Kluyveromyces lactis: one gene and its partner. The protein of the gene in region 2 binds, or shares a complex with, the protein of the main gene of each other region. Links are inferred from orthologs where the notes say so. Each region holds a gene or a part of one and is shown on either strand. Other genes may lie near its edges.

Region 1 (3,468 bases), on a different chromosome or scaffold from region 2:
AAATAAACAGACAACTTTTTATGATATTACTAGATCATTCTTTCTGCATAAAAATTCTGACACAATTTTAAGTACTATAACACTTTCCTGACGAGGCAGTTGCCTTTTTCCTGGTGACTGGGCATAAAGTTTCCCTCATTTCAAGGCTTTTGGTTGATCGAGGTTGCCTTCTTGTAAAGCTTTAATGCCTAAAAAAAAAGTAAAAGAAAAAAAAAGCTGAAAACTGAATTGAACAAAGAACAAAACAGCGAAATAGCGATGGAAACCTTCAATAAATTTTAAACAATACGCCAATCCTATAGTTACCAGCACCGCTTTACAGTTTGGAAAGAGCCACACATATATACAAAGAATGTCTTCTATCTCACAAAACGATTTATCTAACTTGGATGATGGTTCCAAGAAAGAAATCATGACCTTTTTAGAATCCGAGAATTCCAAGCAAAAAGTACAGATGTCTATTCATCAGTTCACCAATCTTTGTTTCAAAAACTGTATTAGCAACGTTCAAAATGCTGATTTGTCTTCTCAAGAAGAACAATGCCTAAACAACTGTGTTAACAGATTTTTGGACACAAATATCAGAATTGTTAAGGGTTTGCAATCTATTCAATAATTTCACTCCGCGATGTGAAAAGAAAATGTAGCGCCTGCTAAACCTGAACCTGTAAAGCTCGTTGTGTGACTCCACTTCTTGTACATATATCAGTGAGCCCCGCCCCTGGTTCGTTTTATTTTCGGATTGCTAAGTTACAGGGTTAGTATTTTTCTTTATGTGATGAATTAGATAGGTATTTATGCAAATAAATTAGTAAGAGATTTACGCTCCTTCAGTTTCTTTGATTCTTCTTTGAAATCACATCCGAATGATTCGAGTTTAGCTAATAATACTTTACATTTGTCTAAGACATCTGCTGTTAAAGATCCCTCGTTGTAACATTTTTCATAGCATAGTAGAATGCAAGCTAGGATATCATACCTTTGATTGACTATACTCTCTGGAATACATTGATCACAGAGTAATATCAATAGATCAAGACACTTATGTAAAATTGGCATTTGTAATGTCATGAACGCATTCCTGAAATAGAATTCCCCAAGAACGTATATCACACGCTGTAAATATAATGTTGTTTCTTTCCCCAACATCAGAACAACATCTTGACAATAGCCAAGAATCCACAAAGAGAGCCCAGGGTAGTCTAATCCGATTCTTGGAATAGTAAGTTGTAATATATTCTCAGAAAACATGTGCCCTAATCTATCTCTAAAATCTTGATCGTTATCTGAAGCTTCTACTCTCAATATTAGCTGTAACGCAGGATATGTCACTTTCCATGTGCGAAGCGTCTCTTCTGGAGTTGAGGATGGTGGTAAGTTGTATAAAAGGTTTGTCAATATTGGCTCGTATACCTTTTGTAGCCCGGTATCCTTGAAATTAAAATTATATGTATCTCGCTTGTTCAACACTGATTCTAGTAATGTGCAGAGCAACATAATTCCATAAACTCTCACATTTTCTGGCCCTAATGTAGTGTCATCAATTATATTAAGTATTCCTGGACTTATCCAGGGTAGGTTTGCAGAAATTTCCTGCTTCCCTAAGTGTCTCAAAATAATATAAAATAACCCAATACTTCGTAATCCACCATTAGTCCTCCATTCTTTCCATCTTGATTCACCAAACGTTTGTTCAAAGCCTAATCTTGGCTGTAGGCCAGGTCTGGAGCTTTCAATCTTACGGCGGCCTGAAGGGGTTAAATTATCATTATTGATCCCGGTCGATTTTATTAACATTGGTTTCAATGCAGAAATGAAGGAATGTACCAAATCATGATCTCGGTCCAAATAATTATCTATAAGATGTGTTACTCTATCTCTTTGCTCGTACCTTGTCCAGTGTTCATTTAACAAAAAGTATGACAAGCTGACCAATCCTTTGGTAAACCATTCTTCCTTATTCTCAACGTTTATATTCTTATCATAGAAAATAATCAATTGTTCTACTGAATCTTTGCTTGGAACACTCAATTTGTCTTCCTCAAGGTTTAATAAAAAATTCAACACATGTTGATTCATTGTATAATCGATTGGCTTCTAGATTGGCCTTAGAAATGCTATATTTTGAGGTTTTTCGGCAAGGCTTGGTAACGATCATCAATATGCTTGAATTTGGGATGAGCTCTCAAAAATATGACATATAAAATAAATGGATCTGAAAACTATGTGATATCGGAAGAAGATATAATGTCGTCGAACAGAGAAGATAACTGTTGAGGCTATCTGATAGTGTTGTTCTTCGCTGAAGAGTGTTTTTGTGATTCTGGTAACTGATAGCATTGACTGCTGGACAAGATGCTACGAACTTCAGTGAGGTCTCATGTACAAAGGATAGGTCATCGAAGGCTGCATTTGTCTGTCTCTGATGAAATACGGGAGGCATTGAATGCCAAAATGCCCGTAGTGGCATTGGAATCCACCATAATATCACATGGATTACCGTACCCGGAAAATATAGAGATGGCCTTGAAGGTGGAGCAAGAAATCAGGAACAACGGAGCCATACCTGCAACAACAGCTTTCATTAATGGTATCCCTAAAGTTGGATTAAAGACGAGAGAAATCGAACAATTAGCAGAGTATGCTAGGAAGGGTCTGGTAAATAAAGTTTCTCGACGTGATATATCTTATACTATTGCTCAAAAACTTTATGGAGGCACTACAATATCGAGTACGATGATCTTGTCCCACAAGGCAGGTATTGAAGTATTTGCTACAGGGGGACTAGGTGGCGTTCATAAAGGCGGTGAACTAACTCTTGATGTTAGTGCTGATTTAGAAGAATTAGGAAGAACTCCTGTATCCGTGGTGTGTGCAGGCCCAAAGGCAATATTGGATATCCCTAGAACTATGGAATATTTAGAGACTAAAGGATGCATGGTAGCTACAATGGGGCCCCCGGGGACGAATGTTCCAGGTTTCTATACTAGAGATTCAGGAGTGAAATCTCCTTATAATTTTAACTCTTATCTGGAAGCTGCACAAATTATACGAGATGGTAATGAATTTGGGTTAAATTCGGGCTACTTATTCTGTTGCCCTCCTCCAAGAGAAGTGGCTTTGGATGATAACTTCATTAACGATATAATAGAACAAGCATGCCAAAATGCAGCAGCAGCAGGTATTAGTGGTAAAGAGTTAACACCTTTTTTACTCAGGGAGATAGCTTCAAAGACTTCAGGAGCGTCTGTTAAATGTAATATTTCATTTGTACTGAACAACTGTAAAATTGCAGCAAATATAGCGGCTTCTCTATCTAAACTAAAGCAAAACATTATTCCAAGATATGAGCCTAAAAATCAACGGGGAACTATGACAAGCCAGGAAACTTCAGGCAATGAAAAGGAGACAAAGGTTCTATCTGCGGTAATTGGCTCTGTCGCTCTTGATACTCAGTGCACTTTCAAT
Region 2 (4,083 bases):
GATTAGACTATCACACAATCTCGAGGATGATTTGTTTAAGGCAGCTTGATACAAAAAAGGTCGTAGAAGTGCATCGATCTTACCTGCAGAAAAACTCTGGAGGCGCAATTGATTTCTTATTTCCGTGCAAACGTCCTTACCTATAACATCAGTCCTCAAAAATTCGGTCAAGTTCACTTGATCGTTCTCCATATGTTTCGTATACTCATCATAGTATTTCGGTAAATAGATGTGGCAGTTTACAGATATATCCTTTCGAAGTAATTTGGTAATTTGTCTTTGAAACGTCGAAGAATCCATATTCTTTATGTAATTACCAAATTCGAGTTTGAACTGATTCACATACTGAACGAATTTGAGTCCAAACAAAGGCTTGAATCCAGTTAGCAATGTAAAGAAGTTTAATATTAGCTTCACCAAAGCGTGGACTTTCACATTAGGGTCTTTCAGAAGGTATCGCGTATCATGAGCAAAGCATTCCAAAAGACTTTCCGCGTGTCTTTCTGTCGTTCCTGTTTTCAATATCAACTGCATTGTTATTACTTTTAATGTTGCTAAGTAATTCTCATTGCCCGCAGAAAAATCACTTAACAAAACGTCATCAATACCTTTGGCCTTAATTAAATTGGTTTCGTTGTATAGCATTAAGATCTGATTGCTAGCTTGTGTCAATTTGTTTCTCTCCATCAAAAAAATAATCCAATTCATATGCTTTTTCGGAAGTTCCTGAAGTTTCTTCAACTGATGACGCCAGATCAATTGGCGATATAACTGAATGAAACTATCATTTACTTGAATGTAGTTCTCAAAATCTTTGCTCTTATTATCCACAAAATCGTACAATTTCTTCCAGTCAATCAGGGAGTTGGTATTATTCTCCTGTGCTGTAGTTATCTTCGAACTATTTGACGTAGCCTGCCATTCCGTATCGTATTTTGTTGATCCAGCGTTTAACGGTCTTCTAACTCTGTTGTCAACTTTCATATCACTCAAGACACCTTTCATTTCGATATGACTGCTGTCTGTTTCAAACGTACTACAGTATGGGCTAAAGCCTGGCTACCCAATATCCACGAAGTTGGCGGGCTGATATGTGTATAGTCTCTAGTTCTTTCTGCAATCTGCCACTTTCAAGTACAGAATCTAATATGTAAACAAAAACAATTCTTTATTTGTGTTATTGTAAAGATTGACATTTAATATGAGATGAATAAAAGACTATGAGATGAAAACCTATAGATGAGACAAGCATTGCAAAGCTGCTAAAGTGCTGCTGACGTGATAGATTGTATATTATAGCGCACAATGTCCGGGATTGATAGTACTTTGTTGAATGAGAAATGTGATAAAGATACCATTTATCAGGTACTAGAACGAATGTCATCAAAGAAACAGCATTCTAGTAACGAAATACTCCCGATAATCAAGAATGTGGTACCAATATATCCATCGCTACCGAGAGAATTAAAGATGGCACTACGCAGGCTATGCGGTAATAATTACATATTCATATCATTGGTTATTGAGTATGCAAAAGAATTGGGTAAGAATCGTGAGACGTCAATATTCTACGGCTTTTTAACGGATGTTCTTAAGTATGAGAGTGATTGTCTATTCAATTACTTAGAGCATTCGTCAAGAAGAGATCTCCCTTTTATCAAATCGATTCTGTTTGGAAGCAGATGTTATAACGCTTTAAGCAGCAGTATTTCCATCGTTGAATATTTAAAGTTTATGAAGATGCAATGGGAATTTGTCTTTAAAGAGACGAAGCAATATGATAAGACGCATCTCGAAATGTTCGTTTCATGTCTACAGCTCAATATTCCTTATGGTGTTGATATATTCATTGAAGGGCTTGCTACTACTAGTGAATTTTCATGGAATGCTTTGATTATGATGTTATCAAAGGGGACCTCAGTTCAACAGAGGAGATTTTTCATGTATCATTTGGTCCCGTTCCTTGAAAAAGTAACTAATCCTGATAACAGCTCTACCATTTTCACACTACTATCCCAGTTACCATTCGATATCCCAACTAGCATAGATTGCTTCAAATGGGGAAATCCGTATTTTAAAATTGTTTACTTGCATGGTATGTCAGAAGCGAAACGTGCACAGCTCTTCAGAGAATTACTACCATGTTTTGAACTGATGGATTTATACACAGATGATTCACTCGCTGAAATCTTGGTAATGATATTAGATGCCATGTCTAAGGATTCCAGAGATGAACTATCGCATGATGCAATTTCCTTGAATTTTGTCACCAAGAGACTTCATTCTGAGGATCATCTGGTTAGGGAGCGTACTATGTTTGTTGCCAAGAAACTTACAAATGATCAGCTTCAATATGAAAGCGATTTTACAATCGATTTGCCTCGAATTGAACTAATCAAGCTATCCAAACTTGAATTTCCCATTAAGGAAGGACTACAAAATCTGCCAAAAGGGAACTCTACAAAGAATGAACTTGTACAGCAATTTAATACCATAACTTTGCAGGACAGTGACGATGAATCTGATGAAGAAGATTCTAGAGACATCTTGTTCCTCAAAGATCTTTTGCTGGAATTCGAGAAAGTTATCAAGAATGATGGGTCCGAACTTAGATTGCTAAAGGAAACTGTGAAGTTAGTACGACAGAAGAAGAACTTCCCAACAGAAGTATCTTTTTATTCTAAAGAACTCCTCAAAAAGATAGCCACCATATCGAACAAGTTTGACGAAAAATCATTTGAAGAATGGAAGGCTAATGCATTAGTTAGCATATTGGTTGTATGTCCAGACAAGATTGTCGATCTTTATGCAATTCTCTTCAATAACGAGTTATCGTTGCAACAAAGGATGGTAATCTTGACATCTGCAGCATTGAGTGCAAGGGAACTACGGGGTTTTGATGATGAATTTGTGGTGAAACCTAAATACGATTTTCCTACTAATCGATTACCATGGGATGAATCGGCCACTGAACAGCAACCTGAAAATAATAAGATACAAGATATTACTGAAATAACAGGAAGCAAGGTTACTTGGAGATCAAAACGTTTAGAGACTGATAGTAAGATTACACAACAGCAGAATAATTTTAGGAAGTACGCTACACTCTTCTTCTATCCCTTGGCACATGCTTGGTTGAACGGAATTAACCTTGGTGCATTCGATAAAGTGTTCAAGAGACACTACATATCTATGCTCAAGATCATTTTAACTTGTGCAAGTCCTCATTATGAGCTAGAAGAGATGCAAATTTTGATGCAAGAAATCCTTTCGGATGCTGTGAAACAACAAGTTCAAACCTCTTAAGACTCATTGAATGACAAAATCTGGGGAATTCAATGGAGCCTATGGTTAGAGGAAAAAAAAATTTTCATCAAATTACTACCTGCACACGCAATGTATATCTCGACATATTTGACTTCATAACCTATTTACACTGTTAAACCGTCTCGAGCGTGCAACCAAAGGTTTCATTGCTTTCCCATAAGCAGTTAACGAGTTTAGGTGCCCCAGCGCATTGGTCACGTGATTTCCCGAAGCTTCTCTTTTAAGGTAAAGAAAACGCTCAAAAGTTCGGAATAAGACGCTGATCATTACAAACAACCATTCACTTCTGCTCACCGCCAATCTACCGACACGTTAGATCTGGGTAACAAGTAGCTACTTGCGTCAGCCAATGAAACATGGGATATGATATTATATCGCTGTTATTCAATGGCATTAAATCAATTCTGGCATTGATGACGATACTTTTCGTTACGCAACAGATTATATTCAATCTTGCGTTACTATACTTCAATGCTAGGATTGTCATTTCTAAGCTCCAGATTGGATTTTTATTTGGACGAAGCATTTATTGGTTGCATCTTATTTACAAAGGCTACAGTTTTAAGGTACGGAAGGTGTTACTACTCTCACTTTTTTCTAAGATTGAATGTTGGGACGTAAATGTGGTATGTGAATTTGAAGAGCATATACCGAAGGAGATATCGGATAATCAAGATATTAGTCTTCTGATACCTATCAGCTTATCCAGATGGAAAGTGCTATGTAAGCTTATGCCAATTGAGCTTCGTTTGGTAA

What was found.
Region 1: TEL2 (region 2) and TTI2 share a complex: the UniProt entries of both Saccharomyces cerevisiae proteins name them as parts of the TTT complex. The link is inferred for Kluyveromyces lactis from reciprocal best matches to the Saccharomyces cerevisiae genes TEL2 and TTI2.

What each region holds. Positions count from the first base shown.
Region 1 is NC_006038.1:366,791-370,258, reverse strand, and holds TTI2 (Tti2p), read right to left. Parts: upstream 2,080-3,468; coding exon 796-2,079; downstream 1-795. Other genes in the region: protein transporter TIM8, read left to right, coding at 353-616; KLLA0_B04004g (pseudouridine-5'-phosphate glycosidase/carbohydrate kinase family protein), read left to right, coding at 2,356-3,468. UniProt on the Saccharomyces cerevisiae protein: Component of the ASTRA complex probably in chromatin remodeling.
Region 2 is NC_006040.1:1,280,590-1,284,672, forward strand, and holds TEL2 (Tel2p), read left to right. Parts: upstream 1-1,305; coding exon 1,306-3,306; downstream 3,307-4,083. Other genes in the region: ESP1 (separase), read right to left, coding at 1-1,005; HOB2 (Hob2p), read left to right, coding at 3,684-4,083. UniProt on the Saccharomyces cerevisiae protein: Part of the TTT complex that is required to stabilize protein levels of the phosphatidylinositol 3-kinase-related protein kinase (PIKK) family proteins. Required for telomere length regulation and telomere position effect.